Cricetulus griseus: one gene and its partners. The protein of the gene in region 3 binds, or shares a complex with, the protein of the main gene of each other region. Links are inferred from orthologs where the notes say so. Each region holds a gene or a part of one and is shown on either strand. Other genes may lie near its edges.

Region 1 (4,415 bases), about 94 Mb from region 3:
ACCAAAAAAAAAAAAAAAGAAAAGAAATAAAAAAAATCACTTGTATTTCTATATGAACTGAACTATATATATACAGTACACACACACACACACACACACACACACACACACACACACACACACACACACACATCTCCATGAGCAAATGCTCAGAAAGTGTGGGTACAGACAGATTTGCTAGGAGAGAAAACGATCTGACCGTGCAGAGAAAACTGGGTCTCTCCTTTATCGGCAATCACTCAGGGTCGATAGCTTAAGAGCACCTCTAGTAGAGTTTTCCTTTGCTCAAAGATTGCACATCTGGAACCTAGTCCTTCACACTAATGTTCTCGGCTGAGTCATTTTTTAGTCCAGTGAGATGTTAGGTAATGGCTATTGGAGTATTTGGTTATCACAATTGGGAGAAGGAAAGTATTGACTCTGAGTAGGTTAGAGGATTGTTTTGGCATAATATTAGTAGTGCTGAATTCCAGAAAACTCTAACCCTAAGCTTTTGGGGCTTAGGTAAAACAACATATTTAAATCTAGTTGTCATTTATTCAGTGAAAAGAAATTCCTGAAAGCTAGTTTTCATAGAGACTGGGATGTGGAGAAGAGTCAGTGGCATGTCAGTATCCTCAGAAATGGCAGAGGTAGCCTGCTGAAAAATAAGAAGAGAGGGACAAATGCAGTTTCACAAATTTATAACATACGTTGGAGGATAATGTGTTCCTTAGAAATAAGAAGATAATCGTTGAAGTTTTTTAGGACCTATTTTTCATAGGCAAGTGGATCTCTGTGAGTTTGAGGCCAGCCTGGTCTACATAGCTCCAGGACAGCGGGCTACACAGTGAGACTCTGTCTCCAAAAACGGAAAGAGAAAAAAGGGGTGGTGGTGGTTTAGGGTGCACACGATGGCAAACTCCTTTAATCCCAGAATTTGGGTGGTTACCGCAAAAGCTCCCAGATCAGTCAGGTCTCTATTGAAAGTTTGAGGCTATCCCTGGCTACACAGTGAGGAAAACAAACAACAAACCACGCGGTGGTTGCTATTAGGGTACGCGGTCCGACTAGAGCACAGATGCTCAAATAAGAAGCAGTTAATCTCGAGCCCCCGATCACAAATGACTTCCGTGTGGAATCAGAAGTTATTTCCTGAAATAAGAAATTAACTTTATTTGTGCGCCTTCTAAGGAAAAGCTTCGTGATGCACTGAGGAATGATTGAAGAATGGCGCTTGTCTCCCCAAAAACAAACCGGTTTCGTTCCCACGAGGAAGGCTTGAGTCACCGCTTCAGACCGTCGCAGCCACCCAACAGGCCAGGTAGAGGGCATGTGAAACAAGCCAAAGCGCCAGAGACCATCTCCAGTTTGCCCACTACTTCCTGGAAACTCCGCCGAAGCCGCTCGCACTCAGTACGGTGGCCGCTAAGGCCCTGCGGGTGACAGAAAGTCAGATGGGCAGGAGGGCGCTTGCGGATTTCCTAGAAAGGCTCGGCAATGCTCCAGCCATTCTATTGGCTGAGGAAAGTGAGGGCCCGCCTCTCTGCGTGGTCCATTGGTCCTGCGTCCATCGCAGCTGGGCGGGGCCTGGCGCCCCATTGCATCAGCTGGTTCCGGCAAGGCCACGTGGCGCACGCGCAGTGTGGAATTGCTGGTCTTCTCTGCCGCCCTGGGCTCTTCTGTGCGGCGTAGCTCTCGGGTTTTGTCTCTCTCAGCGGTCCTTCCATGTCGGAGGAGAAGGCCAGCAGCCCTTCAGGGAAGATGGACGGCGAGAAGCCGGTGAGCAGGCGCAGTGGCTGGACGTGCCCTGGGAACCGACATTGCCCGGCGGGAGTGGACAGTAGCAGGGTCTTGCCGGTACTGGGGAGCCCCAGCAGGCAGGAGTGGCCCGGGGGTCGTCCTCTCCCAGAGATCTGTGTGTGGACTGAGACTGACCAGCTCGCTCAGAGCTACACAGTAACGTGGAGGGCTTGGACTCCCACACATTTGTGTCCCCGAGATAGGCGGGAAGAACATTGCAGAACTTTAAAAATCCTAAACTTTTGTGGAGCAGAAAGCTCTAGTTTAGGAGGGGAAAGACAGTCCTCGAGACCAGATCCAGTTTGACCAAGATTGGGTGCAAATGGTGAAGGCTAGATAGCTCCATTTAACAGACTGCTTGGAAATTAGGCTGGGTGCTGGAAGCGTCCTAGATAACTTCACACGCGCCCTCCTGAAAGCCAACAAATGTTCTGTGTATTTGTTTGTCCTGGCGTTTAGCCGGACAGCGCAGGTGGCAACAGGAATAAGATCGATTACCTGACTTTGGGGTGGGGGTGGGGGGTGGGAGGCGTAGAATTCAAGACTGGAAAATTGAAGTTCTGTGTGATCAGCTCAGTTGCGATATAGAGGAAGCACCGAACTTCGTACGGCCAGGACTGTTTTATTGGATTTAGAAAAATGAGGTCTGGAAAAGTAGGCGGGACAGGGCTGTCCAGATACAGGGGGTTAGTTGTGTTTCAGCTGCATTGGAAGAGACAGGAGAGAAACAGGAAATAGAGATCGAAGATATTAGTGTTCTCTACATGCAGGGTTTTAATCATGAAGGTGCTGTATATGAACTGTATTGTCAAAACTGACTTGGCATTGAGGTTTGAGAGCTGAGGCCCTATGACAGAGGATGTTTGGTAATCCAAGTGAACATCTCTAAGGTCTTCGACAAGAGGAATTTCCATCCAGGACGTAAAATGTTTATGTATACAGTCTAAACTACAGTTTTAAGGTGATGAGTGATAACTACACATAGATATTGTTTCCATTAAAAAATGGTATTTTACCGTTTACAAGTTGGTTACCCTTTTACTCCTTTCCAGACTGTCCTTTAATCCTACTCTTAAACCCAGTTCTTTTATTTCAGGGTCCCCCTGGGTTCTTAAGATTAACATGAGGCTAGGAGTTAGCCAAGATAATCACTCCCTGAGCAGGCTTGTAGTAAAACATTAGAGATTTTATGAGTAAAATGAATTGAAATGTAAAATGTGGTATTATTGCCTCCATAATAATCAGGTATCTTAAATTTTGGAAAGCTTACTTGGTGGGGTGTAGATCTAACCCAAAAGTTCTTTTGTCACTAAGCTGCATCCCCAGCTCCACAGGCCAAACCTTTTATGCCTTTCACATTTAATTTTCACAAGGCCATGTTAAATAAAATAGTTACACCCAGTTCACAAGAGGGAAAACTGGACCTAGAAGTGAACTGACAAGTGTGATCACACAGCCCACTTAGGCTCCCTGGAGATGCTTCGGGCTGAATAGGTAGGTAGATAATATATTCCCCTGCCCCTGAAATAACTCATATTGACTAAATTGTATAATTTCTTGCTGCTTTGTATTTACTACAGGTCCAAGCCTAAAGTGTACATCCATAAGTAGCCTTCTACTTTTTTAGGGCTTCTTTTTATTGCAAGTTGTCTAAATTGTTTTTACCAGTGATGGAATTTCTAGTCTTTCAGAATAAGATTGTCCTTTTTAATTTTTTTATTTATTTAGATAATAGCTTTCTTAGCTGCAGTTTTGGAGAAGATGTCAAATTAGGTTGGAATATGAGAACTTCTCTTTTGCTTCTTTAGGTGGATGTCAGTGAGGAGAAGCGAAAGGAAGGAGGCAAGAAGAAGAACAAAGATGGAGGTGGAGATGGAGGTCGAGCAGAGGTAAAACAAGCTACCGCTTTAGAGGCTTGGGTTTCCCAGGCTAGCGGGAACAAGGAGCTGTCCTGAACTTACCCAACGAGAGAGAGAGAGAGAGAGAGAGAGAGAGAGAGAGAGAGAGAGAGAGAGAGAGAGACTCTGTGTGTGTGTGTGTGTGTGTGTGTGTGTGTGTGTGTGTGTGTGTGTGTATCCATGGCACACGTGTAGAAGCCAGAGGGCAGCTGGTATGCAATGCAGTCCTTCTCCACTCTGGGTGCTGAGGATAGAGTTCAGATATTACACTTGGTGGCCCCTGTGTAAGGGTTCTCATGGTCACCGAAGGCAGTAAGGTAGTACTAGGTGGAAAACAAAGAAAGACGAGTTAGAAAAGTGTCGGAGAGTGAAAAAGGATTTGCAAGTACTTGACAGTGCAGACAGACAAGTGTATTATTGTAAGATGACGTCACAGTGGATTTAGATAGAAACATGAGAGATCAAAAGTATCGAGGAAGGGCTACAGTTGTCACTAGGCTGCCAAGACTGGATGTTGACTTTCCATTTTTTTAAGTGAGGTGTGAATGGGTAAGGGCTCAGTGTTAGGTTCCTACAAGTACATAAAGAACCAAACAGAATCCAGTTCCTTGATCCCTTTCTTATTGCTTGGATCTGCTTCTGGGGTCTGGTATACTTATATCCAGAAAATTGTTCAGTTGCTGGGCTCAGTGACTCAGAACTGGCAGTTTAAAGCCATCCCAGAATGCAGTTGGT
Region 2 (4,414 bases), about 110 kb from region 3:
CCAATTCTTTTTTGTTTGGTTTGGTTTTAGCAGTACTGAGGACTGAACTTTGTCATCAGGCATGCTAGCAAGGCAAGTGCTCTACCACTGAGCTTTATTCCTAGCTCTTTTGAGTCTCAGTGTCTCACCAAGTTACCAGCCTGAGTTTGCAGTGCTCCTACTTCAGTCAAGAAGCTGGGATACCCTCCTTTAAAGGCCATTCCTTTTGAAAGGTATTTCCAGGCAACTTAACACCAATCACATCTAAGAAAAACTTACTTTTAAAATAATTCATTAGAATTCCCTAAACATATGAACTGAACACCGAGTTTCCCAAATGTAAGGGAGGGAGGGATATTGGCTCAAGTCTATAGAATCCGGATTTTCCTTTTCCATAGAGCTCAGCATTTGGGAGGCTGAAGCAAAATATCAAGCTTGAGGCCAGCCTGGGTTACACACACAGACACACACACAGACACACACACAGACACACACACACACACACACACACACACACACACACACACACACACACACACAGTCACAAGGGAAAAGAAGAGATTCCACAACAGTGAATGATCTATCTCATTTTCCTACCAAAAGAGGTCTGTAGACACATTGCTATCAGTTTCTTCCTCACTTAAATCTCTCCAGGCTGGTCACTCTCATGCTCTTCCTAGCAAGCCCTTGATAGGTCCAGCCTAAATTTGGCTTTGTCTCAGGGTCTTTTGCCCTTTTTGACTCTCAGGCTGAAGTACCCTGCCTCTACCTATCAGGTGTTTCCTCAAATTTGAACTTACCTGTAAGTCTCCTCAGGTGACTAAATTAAAAAATTAACCCTTCCCACAACTCTTATACCCTGTCTCCCTATCTCTTTTTTTCTACCTGAGTTAGCAATATGTGGTACAATACTTCCTGGCACTGCTGGCTAGGAACAGAGAGCCACAAAATCACAATCCAGCCATACAATTATGAGAAGGAAATAATCAAGATTCTACAAGCGACTTTGCTGGTAAGATGGGCAGCAGGCTGACTGTATTAAATGCATTTTCAGCTTAAAATATTTTCAACTTTCAATCAGTTTACGTTAGGAAACACTTGTGTATCTTTACTTAAGTATTTAGATATCTAGAAATGACTCCACAGAAACAAATATTTTTGTCCTCAGCATACGACATAAGTACTTAAAGTTTGTCGAAAAATATATAGTCCCTACTTCCCCAGCCACAAAACCGTAAAATCCTTGACAAGTACCAAAACAGGTATGTATGGTCTTTTCCTTTCTAGCAGATCACTAACATCATATCAATGTTAACTTTTCAATGTTGGTGCTATTTTTCCAGATACCTGTGACTTCTAAATGTTTTTCTAGTGTCTTCTAATGTGACAATGAAGTATATACCCTAGTTTAAGCAATTCAAATGCTGCTACACTAGGAAAGCACCATTAAGTGAGGACAAAGTATGTGTTCTAACTAAAATTAAAAGGATGGAAATTGGGGGCTGAAGAGATGGCTCAGAGGTTAAGAGCACCAACTGCTCTTCCGGAGGTCCTGAGTTCAATTCCCAGCATCCACATGATGGCTCAGAACCATCCTCTATGAGATCTGGTGCCCTCTTCTGATTTGCAGATATACATGGAAGCAGAATGTTGTATACATAATTAATAAAATCCTTTAAAAAAAGATGAAAATTAATAAACAAAAAGGATGATAAGTTTTGTCATCTAGGAAGTCATTGTTCCTAGGAGAAACTACAGAAGACTACAGTCCCTAAATACAACACTCTGAGCCAAACTACCTATAATCCAATGGTAGGAAGCCATCCCGGATTGATGTCCCTTAATTTCTTATGTTATGTTGGACTACTTACCTTCCTAATAGAGCCACTAGGTGTGTTTAAGTGCTTTGACTTTCAAGAAAATGGGAGGTGAGGGGACACAGTGCTACTAGATAAATGCAAAGCAACGCTCCTGCTTCCCAAACGCGGTGACACAACCTGCTTCTCTCACAGCCTCCCTTCCCCGCTCACTTGACCGGTATTTCGCATACAAAACTCAAGTGTTCAAGAGTGCTTCGTGGGAAACTGCTTGCCCATTTCAACCCGGTGTGAACGAACATTCCGGTGCCCGGAGCTGCCCGGGGCTCTACTTTCCCAAGCCTCTCAGTCCCAGGATCAGATCCTGACTCCACCTCGCCTGGGGCCTGCTCCAGACCAGTTCTCCGGCCGAGGAAGCAGTCTTCCCGAGTCCAGATGCTCGGTGGGGAAGGCCAGGGCGCACCTCCCCGGGGCAGGTGCGGGCAGGAGCGCCGGCGGGAGCAGCTGTCGGCTCCCAGCAGCTGTTAGCCGGGGCACCCCGAGGCTGCGCGGGCGGCCGGCCCGCCGGCCGGCCCCGAGGAGCGGGCAGCGGAAGGCGAGCCCTCCGGCCTGACACTGCCCACCCCGCCTCCCGCCTCCTCTCCTCGGCTTCCCCCCGCGATGCCACGGGGGCGAAGGCCGGGGGCTGCCCTCGGCCGGGACGTGCCCGGCCCGCGGCGGCCCTCGCACTAGAGGAAGCTCCTGCCGACCCCGCACCTGCCCTGTCCACACGTCTGACGCCCCCAGCCGGCCGCAGCCGCTGCCGGGCAGCCTCAAGTGTGTCCATGCGGCCAGCTCGGGCCGGAACGGCGGGGACGCAACGGTGAGCGCCAGGCCACGGCGGCTCGGGGCGCCACGGCGGGGCCCGGGCGCGGGATGGCCGCGGGCAGGGGAGACACACCGAGCCACTGGTTACCTGCGGTCCGGGACAGGAGTCTCTCAGAACCCAAGTCAATCCTCAGCCTCAACAACACAAGATGGCCGACACGTCGCCACGCACGTCACGTGACCCCGCGCGCCGCCCCGCCCCCTGGCCCGCCTACGTCCCCGCCTCCCTCCCTCCCCGCACTCCAGCTTCCCACGACATCTTTCCCTTCCTCTGCGGACCGCCCCTCCGGCCGGGCACGCCCCTTCCCGAGACCCGGATGCAGGGCTGGGAGAGGGCGGAGCAGCGGCTGCGCAGGCGCACACTGGGGCCTTTGGCTAAAGCTCCAATCGGCCCTAGAGTTGAGCTGGTGGCCTGAGCTGGAACCCGCCCAGCCAGAGGCCCTTGTGACTCACTTCCAGTGCACCCAATCCAGTGCCCCTTTGCAGTACAAGAATCTCCACATCACTTGGGAGCTGGATTTCCAAGCTGCAACTTTTCCATAGCTTTTGGCCTAGCATTGTCCTGCCAGTTTGCCCATCATGGAGCAAATGGCGAGGCTGAAATTCAAAGCAGTTTCCCTTCTGGTAGAAATGGAAATTCATTTTAAAGTGTTGGAATGTGACAGCTGGAAAGTGTTTTAAAGTTCTGACTCCCTCCTACTCCATGCCGGCCTACCACCCCTTTATATCCCGTGCTCCGGTTTTAGGGCTGCTAGCTAAAGGATAGGAAACTCAGCAATACAGAAGACAGGAAATTATCGGCTGTCTTTCTGGAACCCATGTTTACCTGGACATACTACTAGTTGCTAAACCTGCTAGAGCTACCATCTCAAGTCATCATGGTCTTTCTGGCGCCATTAGTCTTTTCCTGCCCTGGATACCGCCTTTACTTCTTGGGATTAAAACAGGGCTTTACACTACCAGTGAACTACAACCTCCAGTCCTTTTCAACATAGCTCTTCCCATCAACTTTTTCCTTTTTTTACAAATATACTCACATGGCTTTACCTTAAAATTAAATGTTGATAACTGGAGTTTCAGAGCTCAGTGATAGAATGAATACATAGCCTGTTGGGAACCCTGGGTTCAATACCTGGAAACTTATACACACATGCCAACCTCCCTCTCTGACTCCCTCCCTGAGTCTTGATTCCCTTTCAAAGTCAAACTATATAAAAGGGTATTAAATTCAGAAGAGTAATGATTAATCTTGACTGTCAACTTGATGGGATTTGGAGTCACCATGGAAACAAATCTGGGCAAATTTGTGAGGAACTACCTAGATTATGTTAATTGATGCGGGAAAACCCACAGTAGGTAAAGTGGGAAATACCATTGCATGGGCTGGGGTCCTGAACTGAGTAAAAAGGAGAAAGCAAGCTGTACAGAAGCATTCAAAGAATTCATTATACTCAGCTTCCTAACCTTGGATGCAATGTAACTGGCCACATCAACCTCCTGCCATCATGACTCCCCAGCCAAGGTGGACTATACTCTTGAACTGTGAGCCAAAATAAGCTTCTCTCTCTCTCTCTCTCTCTCTCTCTCTCTCTCTCTCTCTCTCTCTCTCTCTCTCTCTCCTTCCCTTCCTCCCTCCCTCCCTCTCTGTGGTTTTCAAGACAGGGTTTTTCTGTGTAACAACCTGGGATGTCCTAGAACTTGTTTTATAAACCAGGCCTGCCTCAAACTCACAGAGATCTGACTACCTCTGA
Region 3 (4,170 bases):
AACTCCAGTTCTAGGGGATCCAACACCCTCTTCTGGCTTCTGCAAAACACACATGGGCATGGTGCATAGACGTATGTGCAGGCAAAACACACATACACATAAAATGAAAATAAACTTTAAAAAAAAAAGTAGTAGGAGCTAGGGGTGTGGAATATAAGTGTGGAATTTTGGATTTTTTGAGGCCCAGAACTAAAACAGTACATTTCAGCTCCCTATACCACAGCCTCAAAATACATATCTTCAGAGGTAACTTCCCATTCATTTGCTGTAATACCCCCCCAATTGATCACAAAAGATTTATCATCTTTTTCCATTGTTGGAAATTCTCACCTGATCCACGTTTCACATGAGCAAGTCCAGAAAAAGAGGAACTCTCTAGAACACTCCTTTAGGGTCCAAATTCCCATCTCTGATCGGATCTCAGAGATCTCAGATCAGTCCAACTCTGCAAACGCACCTTTTTTTGCCTCTCTTCTCAAAGGCCAGGGCACTTGGAGGGGGAGGGCTAGGGCTGGGCTGGGCTGGGCCTGACAGGAGAGCTTCCTCAGCTTCCCTTATACAATGTTATCAGGAAAATAGGATGGTCCCTTGAGGTCTAATTTGGGAGAAAAAAAAAAAAAACACAAAAAACAAAACATGACCTTGCTGAGTGACCAGGGGACAACCGTGGGCCAGTCCAGGGAGACCGTTTCCTGGCCTGTAAACACACAGGCATAATCAATTTCTGCCTCTCCACTTCTAACAATGGGACGTGTTCAGCAGCAAATGGATCAGAAATGCACAGCCGGTGGATTTGGAGATCCATTACCAACTAGGGAATTTTTTTTTTACTGCTGTGATGTGTTTGGGACCGTCGTTAGGAGTGTGGGGGCAAAGCCAAACCCTCTGGGGTCTCGGTAAATTTAAGTGTGTCACCGTAGCGGGGAGAGTCTCATGTATCCCAAGCTGCCTCAAACTCTCTGTTGGTCAGCCTGGTCTGGATCTTCCTGCCTCCACTTCCCAATTTGTTTGGAGTGGTTTCTCGTCCTCCACAAACATCAAGAACAAAGGATCAGCTCTCAGAAATGAACACTTGGTACCATTTACTATGCTGCCATTTCCCCTGGAACCCACGGGGAGGTTAAAGCAGATGGCCGGCTACCACAGCGCTCAATGCCTCACGAAGGCGACGGAGAGCAAGCAGGCCTTGGGCAAGCCGGACCGCGACTGGCGCAGGGACTGGGTCGCCCGTCAGGGAAAGAAGTCCCGCGCCCGGCCTGCGCGCCAACGTTCCGCTGAGCGGCTCGACAACCGGAAGTAGCCGGGCTCTTGACTCAGGGACCGGGCAGAGCGGAAGTCACTCCGTGAGGCAGTGGCGACAGCGGCGGCGAGAGGATGAACAACAAGTTCGACGCGTGAGTGGCGCGTGGCCGCCCCCGGGGCCCCTTCCCCCAACCGTCCCCCGGGACCGCTCCCGCCGGGGCCGGGCGCGCACTCAGCCGAGCCGCTCGCTCCCGGCCGCCGCGGCCGAGCCTCCCTGCGCCCGCGCCCGACGGGGCCGGGAGAGCGTGGCCGAGGTCGCCGGGACCCCTGAGCCGCTGGACCCCGGCGTGGCGCGGGCCGGGGGAGGGGAGGCCGCACCGCCCGGAAGGAGATTTTCGGACGCCCCGCCCTGGTGGGTGCGGGCTGCCGGCGGCGTGGAGGGGCGGGACCTCGGCGCTTCGGGTGTTTCCGCAGCCTTGCTCCCTTCTTTCTGAAGCGGCTTCCCTCCCGCACCCGCTCTGCGTCCTGGGAAGGTCACCTGCCCCTTCTGAACCTCGGTTTTGTCTTCTGCAAGCGGGGACGGTAACAGAGCCCGTGTCGTAGCGTTGGGCAGCTGCGATGAGGTAATGGGGCAGCCGCGCTGAATACTGTGGCCTCTTGAGTACGGAATGCTTTTCATCCGAGATTCTTCCTGCTTCCTTCCCATCCCCCAGCCACCCACCCACCTACCCACCCACCCACCTCAGTTCCTGTTTTCCAACTCTTAGAGACTGCCCACTCCTGCATTCTTTTCAAGTACCCACTCCCATCCCTAATTCCCGAATCGAACATTTAGGAAGTACAGACAAGAAATATTGAAGTGTTTGGGGGGGCGGGCATTCCCTTTTAACCAGTATATCTTTTTGCATTTAAAAGTAATTTTCGTTTCGTTTAACAGCACTTAAACAATTGTATCTTTCAGTAGTGCTCCTTTTTGTAGTGCACCTTCCTCTTTCATTTCAAAGACTACATTTTTTAGTTTTAGGCCCACCAAATGTTTGCCAGTACAAAAGCTCTCCAGTATGAACTATTGCTCTAACCTCCCTAGTGGTTAGAACCCTCCTGGAAGGATCAGAACACACTCTACAATGCTGAGAGGGACTTTTCTAAAATGCCCATAAGGAGGTGTGAAGGTAGAATGGAACCACCAATAGGTGGTGAAGCTGCGGTTTTTCTGATGTGTATACCCAGGAAGTACTGGGATTCCAGCAGTAAAGGTGGCTCGTGACAGGTTTTCTTGATGGCCGAGTGAACTCTGCTTCTTGAGAAAAGCAGATGTCCTCCATCTCGGCTGCTTTGCTGAGCACAGCAGCAGGATAGCAACCCCTTTGGCCTCCCATCCTAAGCCCTGCAGTACCCAGCCCCGCATCGGCAGCCCTTCCACCCTTCCTCTCCTTATTTGAACAAATCAAACTGAATCCCAAGAAGATAGTTTTTAGGTCATCTGTCTCGAATAAAGGTAGTTATAATGACCACTGTCATAGACACTATTCTGTTGCTGTGAAGAGACACCATGACCAAGACAACTCTTCCGACTTGTTATCTCCAAAAAGCATTCAAATATGTGAGCCTATGTGGCCATTCTAACCTGCCCAGCTACCCACAGGCATCTCTAGGTACTTCTTTTTTAGGTTAGCATAAAGTTAACAGGTTCTGTTATGACACCTTCATACTTATGTATCATTACTTCATTCTCATTCTTTCCTCTACTGTACTCCCCCAGGGTCCCTTTCCTCTGATTCCCTTCTAGTTGGTTCCCCCCTTCTGCTTTTCTATTATATTGCCCTCTGTTTCCCACTATTTTCTTTATAACTCTGCAAAAGAGATCTTTATATCTTTTCTTACAGTTAAGGGAAATGAGGCTCTTCAAGGCTAAGTAACCAGTGCAAGATAGCCTAAAGGGCCAGCTCAGGTTTGCACTTAACTTTGTTCATGAGTGTCTTTATCAACATTTTTTGGGGGTGGTTTTAATTACTTGTAACTATTGGCTGTTGTAAAGAGTAGGGTCTTTTTAATGCCTGCAGGAAAAAAAAATAAGAGTAGTTTCATTTGAAATTAGCAATTAAAGATCATACCCTTGCCCCTAGTGTTGATTTTGTCATTTCACAGTTTCATGTGAAAAGCCTGCAGTTTGTAGACTGTTGTTCCATATTTGGAGTCTGCACTCTTCATCACATCTCCCTGAAACTTTTTAGCGTCATTCTCAAAGTGCAGTCTCCAGTGAGTGCTGTAGTATGGGCACAGATTAATAAGGAGCTCTGACCTTTAATATATGGGCTCTGCTTCTGTCCAATGTAACCAAAGCTGGTAATGGCTTTAAAGGGTGCAAATTTGCTAGGTCTAGTTGCCTTTCTTGTTATTAACATATAAAACCCTAAGATGGTCTCTCAAGAACTACAGCACCAACTGTGGTAAACTTGGTTTCCAGATCCTGCATTTTTGGAGGCCAGGATTGGTCTGGTCAGTTTTATATGGTCCTTTTCTGTCGTAAGCTTTTGGCCCATTCATAAGTGTTTCTAAACCACCCAATTTGATATCATTTTGATTTTGGAGATCCATTAATTAACCGTGTTTGTTTTATGTTTGTGTCTGATGCTAGAGATCCAGTGGAGAATTAGATCAAGTTCCTACCTGTACAGAATTAGCCCACTTCAGAAGGTGTTGGGAAATACCTGGACAGAAGCTTGGAGAGCTAACCCAAGTGTCACTTAGACTGGACATAAATCAGGCAGCTTGAGTCTGGAGTGCTGCTCTTTCAGTGTGACTTTACCTTGGCTCAAATCCAGCTGCAAGCCTGGGAGAGCAGCTTCTGAAAATTAGGTTGTAAAACTTTTGCCTTAGGTGTAGGTGCAGAGAGCAGGTTATTTACATGACTTCTTCAAGAAATAA
Region 4 (3,187 bases), on a different chromosome or scaffold from region 3:
CCAGCACTTTCTGCAGCTGGTCGGCAGGTATGGGGACTTCAGGGCTTGGTGTGGGCAGGGCAGTGGTTGTACGTGGTAATACCGTCTGAGCCCAGTATGTCTGTAGCCGCCAGCTCCCGCAGTGTACGACGCTCCGGGAAAAGGCAGCTATGGGGGACCTGACGCCGCCGCAGCAGCAGCAGCTCACTGCGTTCCTGCAGCAGCTCCAGGCTCTCAAAACCCCCAGGTCTGTTGTACTAAGTGTGTGAGTGTGGGGGGGTGTCTGTGTGAGTGTTGGGGTGAGTGTGGGAGGGTTTGTCTGTGTGTGGGAGGGGGTGTGTGTGTGATGGTGTGAGGTAGAGAAGGAGGAGGTCAAGCTACAGGTAATGCAGTGTCCTGAGGGCCAGTTGTTTGCTTCTAAGGGGTGGCGACCAGAACCTGCTCCCGACGATGAGCCGGTCCTTGTCGGTGCCAGATTCGGGCCCCCTCTGGGACTTACATACCTCAGCTTCATCACAGTCAGGTGAGTGGCCAACCTGCCCCATGCCACACCCTGGTCCCCTTTACCCCCCAGTCTCTGCTTGTCACACTTGGTGGCTCTGCCTCCTATCTGCGGGTGGTTCTGCTGGGTCTGGGTCTCTGCAGCTGCCTTTCTTCTGCAGGTGGTGAAGCCAGTCTTTGGGACATACCAATTAACTCTTCGACTCAGGGTCCAATTCTAGAACAACTCCAGCTGCAACATAAAGTAAGTAGCCTGCTGGCCTGGCGCAGGCCAGCTGAAGCAGGCGCAGCCTCCCAGCTAACGAATGTCCTTGTCACTGCAGTTTCAAGAGCGCAGAGAAGTGGAGCTCAGGGCAAAGCGGGAGGAAGAGGAGCGCAAACGCCTTTGCCGTGAGGAAAAGCGCCGCCAGCAGCAGCAGCAGCAGCAGGAGGAGCAAAAGCGGCGGCAGGAAGAGGAAGAGCTCTTCCGGCGCAAGCAGGTACAAGTCCCACCTGTCTCCTGGACCTGGCCTGTGCCTGGTGCCAGACAGCCACCAACATCCACTGTGCCTCACCCAGGTGCGACAGCAGGAACTGCTGCTGAAGCTGCTACAGCAGCAGCAAGCAACAAGTGTCCCTGTGCCCCCTGCGCCAAGCTCCCCTCCCCCACTCTGGGCCGGCCTAGCCAAGCAGGGCCTATCCATGAAGACTCTGCTGGAGCTGCAGATGGAAAGTGAGCGGCAGCTCCACAAGCAGCCTGCACCCCGGGAGCCTCTGAGGGCCCAGGCCCCCAACCACCGAGTGGTAAGCAGCAGCGGCCGGAACCACACCAGTGAAGCTTCCAGGAGCACTCAGGGAGGTGGGGGGGTGGGGGGGTGTCCCTAAGCGTAGACTCTAAAGCTGAAGACCTGGTTCTTTCCATTATTGGAAGGATGTCCTCTCTCTCTAGTCGTTAGCTCATCCCCTTCCCTTAGCCCCCAAAAGAGCCTCCCTGCCTAGGTGTTCAGGGCTCATTTTCGAGCCCCTGACTTCCTGCCATTTGCAGCAGCTTGGGGGCTTGGGCACTGCCCCTCTGAACCAGTGGGTGTCTGAGGCTGGGCCACTGTGGGGCGGGCCAGACAAGAGTGGGGGCAGCAGCAGTGGCAGTCTGGGACTCTGGGAAGACACCGTCAAGAGTGGCGGGAACCTGGCCCGGAACCTGGGCCTAAAGAACAGTCGGAGCAGCCCGTCTCTCAGGTGGGTGAGACCTTTTTAGCTGGGGTCTGCCAGGGAGGGATGGGTGCTAAGCTCCTGGGCTCATCTGTGGCCTCCAATTCCCCACCCTCCTCAGTGACTCATACAGCCACCTGTCAGGTCGACCTGTTCGCAAAAAGACAGAAGAGGAAGAGAAGTTGCTGAAGCTGCTGCAGGGCATCCCTCGGCCCCAGGATGGCTTTACCCAGTGGTGTGAGCAGATGCTACACACCCTGAGCACCACAGGCAGCCTGGATGGTAGGAAGGCAGTCCTTGTGGGTCATGTTTGCACTGGGGACTCTAGACCTGTCCAGCATGTTTGACTGTCCCTCCCCATAGTGCCCATGGCTGTAGCGATCCTCAAGGAGGTGGAGTCCCCCTATGATGTCCATGATTATATCCGTTCCTGCCTGGGGGACACGCTGGAAGCCAAAGAATTTGCCAAACAATTCCTGGAGCGGAGGGCCAAGCAGAAAGCCAGCCAACAGAGGCAGCAGCAGCAGCAGGTAGAGTCTTGTGGGACCTAGGGAGGCAAGGCACCAGGGCTCTCCTGACTCCACTCTTTTGCCTTAGGAGGCCTGGCTGAGTAGCACCTCCCTACAGACAGCCTTTCAGGCCAACCACAGCACCAAACTGGGCCCTGGGGAGGGCAGCAAGGCCAAGAGGAGGGCACTGATGCTTCACTCAGACCCCAGCATCTTGGGTAAGTAGAGGGTGCTGGGGAGCCCTGCTTTCCCTGCACAGGCTGCACAGGACCTAGTGAGCTCACCCTCACTTCTCCCCTGGCTTCAGGGTACTCCCTGCATGGCCCTTCCGGTGAGATCGAGAGCGTGGATGACTACTGACCAGCCTGTCCCATCAGCCCCCGAGCTGGAGGCTTGGGAGGCTAGGGAGGCGGCGGCAGCATGGACCCTTGGGTCTCCAGCCTGCGGGCTCCCAACAAGGAGCAAAGGAGGAAGCAAGTGGGGCATGGTCCCCGGCACTTGTTACAGACCACACGATGCACCTTAACTCACCCACCACGAGGCACTTTACACACGGGGAGGGGCTTTCTTTTTTTCTCTTTCATTTTCAACGTTAGGAGAGACAAAAGTATCATTCAAAAACTAGACTGTAGGCCCCTTCACCCCTTTGGGGATAATGGGTGCGACATTGGAAGGTCCACAGAGGCTTTATTTTGGTTTGGGTTTTTTTTTTGTTTGGGTTTTTTTGTTTTGTTTTGTTTTTTTTGGTTAAGATGAAAAATAATGGGGGGGGGGAACCACACTGTTATTTTGGGGCAGTGGGTACCATGCCCTATGGAACTGCCCTGCCTGGCTCCCCTTAAGGCTGCACTTACCCTGCTGCTGCCCCCCAGAAGGTGGTCATTGGGGTGACTGGAAGATGGGTGCTGGCAGTTTACACAGCGAGGCCCTCTCCAGAAGCGCTGCCCACTGGACCTGCTGTGAACAGCTCCCTGTGGTGGTTACTGTGGCAGGTGTCCTGGTAAGGGGGC
Region 5 (4,232 bases), on a different chromosome or scaffold from region 3:
TTAACCCAGAACTTAGTACATATTAGGTAAGTTGTCTACCAACTAGGCTGCATTCCAAGTCCCCCCTTTCTTTCTCTCACTTTTTGAGATAAGGTCTCACATTGTCTGGCCCAGGCTGTACCTCAAACTCACTGTAACCATGCCTGGCCTCAACTTTGTGGTATTTATCTTGTCTCAGATTCTTCAGTATTAGAACTATGTGAGCTACAGCCCAGTTCTAGCTTTCTTGTTTTCTTTGAAACAGGGTCTTGTTGTGTATCATAGGCTAGAAGCCTTGATCCTCTTGCCTCAGCCTCCCAAGTGCTGGGACAAGTGTGTGGCACCATACCTAGCTTGAGTGTTGAGCTTTGTAAGCAGGCCCTCCCTGGAATCTTAGTTCTGGGAAATCTAGGGCCTCCATTGCAACCAAACAAGTCAAAAGCAAAACTCCTTTCAAAATGCTTCTCCCAAAGGGAGGAAGGTGACCCGGTATGTTCTCAAGTGTGGAGAGAGACAGGCTAGCCTGGACTCCAGCGAAGGTTGGCATACATTCAACAGTATGACCTCAGGCATTTATTCGTCAGCTGTGTGATCTTGTGCAAAACCCTGTCCTTTTCTGAACTTCAGTTTTCTGCTGTTTGTGGTTGTTATTGATTGCTTGCTTTGCTTTGTGGAGATGTAGTCCCACTAAGAAGCCTGGGCTATCCTGTAACTCATGATCCTTCTAGGGCTTCAGCCTCCCCAGTTCTGAAATTACAGGCATTCCCTACCACATGGAGATTGATAGATTCTCTATCCTATTAGACATGACGGTCCTCCTTGCCACTCCCCTCCCCTCCCTACCAAAGTGTTGGAATAGACTACAATTTGAGGACTGTTGGGGAAACGTCTTTGACCAGCCCATCCTCTACAGAGGTCCGATCTTGCCACATCAGATTTACAGTCAGTTTCCAGCTGGCTGGCTAGTTCCCTCTTAGTCCACCACTCCTTTCAAGGCCAGGGATGCGCATTGTTCAGCCACTGCTCTGACTCCTACAGCACAGTGGAAACGAAAGAAGCGTTAAGATGGGCGAAGGATCAGCCCACCCTTACTTTCTTCTAGTAGGAACAGCTGGGGATCGAGAGATCACATCCTAATATAGAAAGCAGGCCGTCTAGTGCGCCGAAAACGCGGTCACCAAATCGGAGAGCTTTTCCAACGTCACCCCTATATAGCTCTTCTCAGTGCGTCGGGGAGGGACCCCGGAACCTAAGGGGCCAACACTGGGGTTCCCGCACTGGAGAGGGCAGAAGCCGCTAGGTCAGCAGCTGGGAACAACTTGCATGCAGCGGGCTGGAGCTGGGTGGGGCCGGGCGGACCTCAAGTCTCAGGGGGCGTGGAGCCCAGGCGGAAGGGGCGGGCCGGGCTGGAGAAGGGCTGGGCCGAGGTGCCGCGGGGCTGCTGGAGGGTCGTGGGCGGCACGTAGGAGACATGTCTGGGGGTAGCAGCTGCAGCCAGACTCCCAGCCGGGCCATCCCCACTCGCCGGGTAGCCCTCGGCGACGGCGTGCAGCTCCCGCCCGGGGACTATAGCACCACCCCGGGCGGCACACTCTTCAGCACCACCCCAGGAGGTAGGCGCGGGCCGGGGTTGGGGCGACCTCCAGGGCAGGAGGGCACCCCGGGATCCGGAGTCGCACGTGCGACGGGGGTGGCGGCGCTCAAGGGTTCCATAGCTGGACAGAACGGATAGGGGCGTCAGGAAGGCTGGAGGGTAACCGTCTCGGTTGCCCGCCTGCTGGGTGTGGTGGAGCGTGGTCTGGGGGCCCGTCTGCAAACTGCGCGCTTTTTCCTGGGAGAGACCGCGGAGTGCCCCAAGCACACAGATAGGCACTCTGCCATGATTACCATGTGCTCAAGTGAGGCCTCTCTGGGTGTCACGACAGTTCTAGGGTGGGTCAGGATGGGGGTCTGGGTGGAGCAGGGGAAGGGCCAGGCCTGGAGATTAAGTTTAGTTGATCTCTCTTGGAATAAAGGACGCCTGCACACTTTTTAACCTTCCCCGGGCAACCCTCGTTTTGCGTTGGGACACTCGCTTATTGATGAAGGCTGGGCGTTGAGGGTGCTCTCTGCCCCAGGAGCACGTCTCGGCCACCTGTGGCATGAAGCCGATTTAGAGAGTGAGATCTCCAGACAGGGGCCTGGCGCTGCGTCCATGGCTGTGCAGAACAACACGTTCCTCGGGTCTGGGGGGAGGGCACAACGCTGAATTCGCCCAAGTGGCGGAGGATGAGGAAGAGGAAGCTGAGTTGGCGCGGGACGGGGCCGGGCTCCAGGAACTAGGCATTCCCAGCTTGCCCCGAGCCCCAGTATAGGCGCTGATGAAACCTACACGCCCGTTTGCATGATGAAATGCTCGTGGCTCACTACTTCCCTCCCATTCTCGAGCTGCTCCCACCCATTTTGCGCTTCTCCCTTCCCTGATCTCCTCCCCCAAGCTTCTCCTCTTACAACTCAAAAAAACAGGAGAGTTCCTGGCGCTGCGCTGAACCTTGGGCTACTGCAGGCGCGTCCAGGCCACATGCCTTTTTTCTCAAGCAGCTGTTCCTATACCAGGGAACACAGCCAGACCCCAGAACCAAGGCGCCGTTGAAGGGATCTTGTAGATGAGTGTCCAGTTTGTGCCTCTTGGTCTTCAGAACAACCCCCCCCCCTTTTTGAGCGCGTGTCTGTTATGCATTGTCACGATGTGTTCCTAGCAAACAGGTAGAGCGGGGAAGGCATTCTCCCTTTCATTAGAAATGGCCCAGGGAAAACTCTGCAGGCTTCTGGTCTCCCTTTCCTGGAGTTCTCAGAACTTTCCTGGCCTCTTCTAGTTCACACTCTTGCACCCTTTCTTTGTCTTGTTACAGAACTTTGTGTTTAAGCACAAACTTGGCAGACAGTTGAGTCCTTACAGGTGAGGCGTGAATCTTTTTTTTTTTTTTTTTTTTTTTATGTACAGGCACTGAGGCAGGCTTAAAGGCTCAGGGAAACCCTTTTTGCCCCCCCCCCCTTTTTTTTTTTTTTTTTTCGGATGGACAGTACTGTTTGTATGAAGATCCACTTCACACTATGGACTGGGAAGTGTCAAAGTTGGCAAATCATGATGTCCCAAAGCCACTGGCCCTTTGTCAGGGTGTTTTTTTTTTTTTTTTTTTTTTTTTTGTGGGGTACACAGCCCATAGCTTGAGGAGAGTCTATCTCATTTCTGCCAAAGCCAACAAGCCTGTTCTTTAGCTAAACAGTTGGATCTTCTTCAAGGGCTATTCCTTCCAGGGCTTCTCTGCCAAAGTGGAGAAGCTTGACCCATTTGCTTCAGAGTTTCTCATTACTTAGACCCCCAATTAAATACGGAGTTGGAGTACAAAGGTCTACAGAGTGAGTTCCAGGACAGCCAGGGTTGCATGAAGATCCACTTGCCTCTGCCTTCCTAGTTCTGGGACTAAAGGTGTGCACCACCACATCTGGCCATCCAGGCTTTCCTTACTGTTACATACCTTTTGGGCTGTTTCTAATGGCTCTGACCTGTACTTCCTTGGAAATCCATCTAACTTTTGAATTTTTCTACATATATCAAGGGCTGGCTGGGAGACAAAGGCCATGTTAATATCCTTGAGATTTGCTATGTCCTCAGGATCTATAGGAGTATATAGCCAATAAGCTTGAAGCAGGACTGAGATATTGCCTAACCATTTTACAGGATTTCCAGGTGAAAGGGACAAGCGACATCCATACATGTGTTATTTGCCTTTTCAGGTCTTTGGGAGTCTGGCAAAGTAGATTCCATCCAGGCATGAAGTCAGGCTGGCATTTCCTGAACTTAGGCTTTTCTGTACATCTTGGCTTGTGATTGACCCTTAGGGGCTGTGAGCTTTTCATGAAGGAATATTGCCTTAAGTCCCTTCAGCTGAGATGGCTTTGAAGCAGTTGTCTTGGGGAGGCCATGAGGGAGGCCAGAATGCCAGGACACAGCAGGTGGCCTGAGCCTCCTCCATTCCTGTGGTCATTATCCCTTTGCTGGCCCACCCAGTTAGGTATTCTGAGAACCTAAGACGTTTCTGAGGGGAGTGTCCTATGTGGGTCTTTAAGATGGTCAGCAGTCCCATAAACAGAATCTTCTAGTAAAGGCCCAGGATGGATGTTTGACCTCTGACGAAGTTGTTGGGGTGCCCGTACCTATTAGTGCCTGGGTGAGGTTAATCAGGCGAGCAGTCAGGGTGGCAATGGTAATG

The links.
Region 1: the proteins of Eif4e2 (region 3) and Tars1 are in contact, whole or in part, in a crystal structure (PDB 5XLN), measured with the Homo sapiens proteins. The link is inferred for Cricetulus griseus from reciprocal best matches to the Homo sapiens genes EIF4E2 and TARS1. Residues at the interface, in NP_004837.1 of Homo sapiens: His54, Pro55, Leu56, Gln57, Val91, Glu92, Phe94, Trp95, Arg96, Glu149, Asn150, Leu153, Leu156, Gly157, Glu158, Gln159, Met161, Val203; in NP_001245366.1 of Homo sapiens: Pro51, Glu52, Tyr53, Ile54, Tyr55, Thr56, Arg57, Met60, Tyr61, Ile63, Leu64, Glu67.
Region 2: the proteins of Eif4e2 (region 3) and Gigyf2 are in contact, whole or in part, in a crystal structure (PDB 5NVM), measured with the Homo sapiens proteins. The link is inferred for Cricetulus griseus from reciprocal best matches to the Homo sapiens genes EIF4E2 and GIGYF2. Residues at the interface, in NP_004837.1 of Homo sapiens: His54, Pro55, Leu56, Gln57, Tyr64, Arg66, Asn81, Lys83, Gln84, Ile85, Gly86, Thr87, Val91, Glu92, Phe94, Trp95, Arg96, Phe97, Ser99, His100, Met101, Val102, Leu107, Phe113, Glu149, Asn150, Leu153, Leu156, Gly157, Glu158; in NP_001096616.1 of Homo sapiens: Leu38, Ala39, Asp40, Tyr41, Arg42, Tyr43, Gly44, Arg45, Met48, Leu49, Leu51, Phe52, Leu53, Asn56, Lys57, Ile58, Pro59, Asp61, Leu62, Asp64, Glu66, Phe67, Pro69, Ile70, Leu71, Gln72.
Region 4: the proteins of Eif4e2 (region 3) and Gigyf1 are in contact, whole or in part, in a crystal structure (PDB 5NVK), measured with the Homo sapiens proteins. The link is inferred for Cricetulus griseus from reciprocal best matches to the Homo sapiens genes EIF4E2 and GIGYF1. Residues at the interface, in NP_004837.1 of Homo sapiens: His54, Pro55, Leu56, Gln57, Tyr64, Lys83, Gln84, Ile85, Gly86, Val91, Glu92, Trp95, Arg96, Phe97, Tyr98, Ser99, His100, Met101, Val102, Arg103, Leu107, Phe113, Ile137, Arg138, Leu139, Arg140, Gly142, Leu143, Ser145, Arg146; in NP_001362694.1 of Homo sapiens: Leu36, Ala37, Asp38, Tyr39, Arg40, Tyr41, Gly42, Arg43, Met46, Leu47, Leu49, Tyr50, Glu53, Asn54, Lys55, Val56, Pro57, Glu59, Leu60, Glu64, Phe65, Ala67, Val68, Leu69, Gln70, Asp71, Glu72, Pro73, Leu74, Gln75.
Region 5: the proteins of Eif4e2 (region 3) and Eif4ebp1 are in contact, whole or in part, in a crystal structure (PDB 5NVN), measured with the Homo sapiens proteins. The link is inferred for Cricetulus griseus from reciprocal best matches to the Homo sapiens genes EIF4E2 and EIF4EBP1. Residues at the interface, in NP_004837.1 of Homo sapiens: Glu53, His54, Pro55, Leu56, Gln57, Tyr58, Tyr64, Arg66, Lys83, Gln84, Ile85, Gly86, Val91, Glu92, Gln93, Trp95, Arg96, Phe97, Ser99, His100, Met101, Val102, Leu107, Phe113, Glu149, Asn150, Leu153, Gly157, Glu158, Gln159; in NP_004086.1 of Homo sapiens: Arg51, Ile52, Ile53, Tyr54, Asp55, Arg56, Phe58, Leu59, Met60, Cys62, Arg63, Ser65, Val67, Thr68, Lys69, Thr70, Pro71, Pro72, Asp74, Leu75, Pro76, Ile78, Pro79, Gly80, Val81, Thr82, Ser83.

What each region holds. Positions count from the first base shown.
Region 1 is NC_048595.1:344,528,511-344,532,925, reverse strand, and holds the start of Tars1 (threonine--tRNA ligase 1, cytoplasmic), read left to right. Parts: upstream 1-1,584; 5' UTR 1,585-1,707; coding exon 1,708-1,761; intron 1,762-3,590; coding exon 3,591-3,671; intron 3,672-4,415. UniProt on the Homo sapiens protein: Catalyzes the attachment of threonine to tRNA(Thr) in a two-step reaction: threonine is first activated by ATP to form Thr-AMP and then transferred to the acceptor end of tRNA(Thr).
Region 2 is NC_048595.1:438,969,109-438,973,522, reverse strand, and holds the start of Gigyf2 (GRB10-interacting GYF protein 2), read right to left. Parts: upstream 2,876-4,414; 5' UTR 2,752-2,875; intron 1-2,751. UniProt on the Homo sapiens protein: Key component of the 4EHP-GYF2 complex, a multiprotein complex that acts as a repressor of translation initiation. In the 4EHP-GYF2 complex, acts as a factor that bridges EIF4E2 to ZFP36/TTP, linking translation repression with mRNA decay.
Region 3 is NC_048595.1:438,858,633-438,862,802, forward strand, and holds the start of Eif4e2 (eukaryotic translation initiation factor 4E type 2), read left to right. Parts: upstream 1-1,257; 5' UTR 1,258-1,374; coding exon 1,375-1,394; intron 1,395-1,451; exon of another isoform or gene 1,452-1,860; coding exon of another isoform or gene 1,861-1,865; intron 1,866-4,170. UniProt on the Homo sapiens protein: Recognizes and binds the 7-methylguanosine-containing mRNA cap during an early step in the initiation. Acts as a repressor of translation initiation.
Region 4 is NC_048597.1:116,448,689-116,451,875, forward strand, and holds the end of Gigyf1 (GRB10-interacting GYF protein 1), read left to right. Parts: coding exon 1-27; intron 28-106; coding exon 107-226; intron 227-401; coding exon 402-502; intron 503-641; coding exon 642-724; intron 725-803; coding exon 804-959; intron 960-1,038; coding exon 1,039-1,263; intron 1,264-1,504; coding exon 1,505-1,695; intron 1,696-1,789; coding exon 1,790-1,950; intron 1,951-2,031; coding exon 2,032-2,198; intron 2,199-2,265; coding exon 2,266-2,395; intron 2,396-2,484; coding exon 2,485-2,537; 3' UTR 2,538-2,673; downstream 2,674-3,187. UniProt on the Homo sapiens protein: May act cooperatively with GRB10 to regulate tyrosine kinase receptor signaling. May increase IGF1 receptor phosphorylation under IGF1 stimulation as well as phosphorylation of IRS1 and SHC1.
Region 5 is NW_023276807.1:56,590,439-56,594,670, reverse strand, and holds the start of Eif4ebp1 (eukaryotic translation initiation factor 4E-binding protein 1), read left to right. Parts: upstream 1-1,385; 5' UTR 1,386-1,450; coding exon 1,451-1,592; intron 1,593-4,232. UniProt on the Homo sapiens protein: Repressor of translation initiation that regulates EIF4E activity by preventing its assembly into the eIF4F complex: hypophosphorylated form competes with EIF4G1/EIF4G3 and strongly binds to EIF4E, leading to repress translation.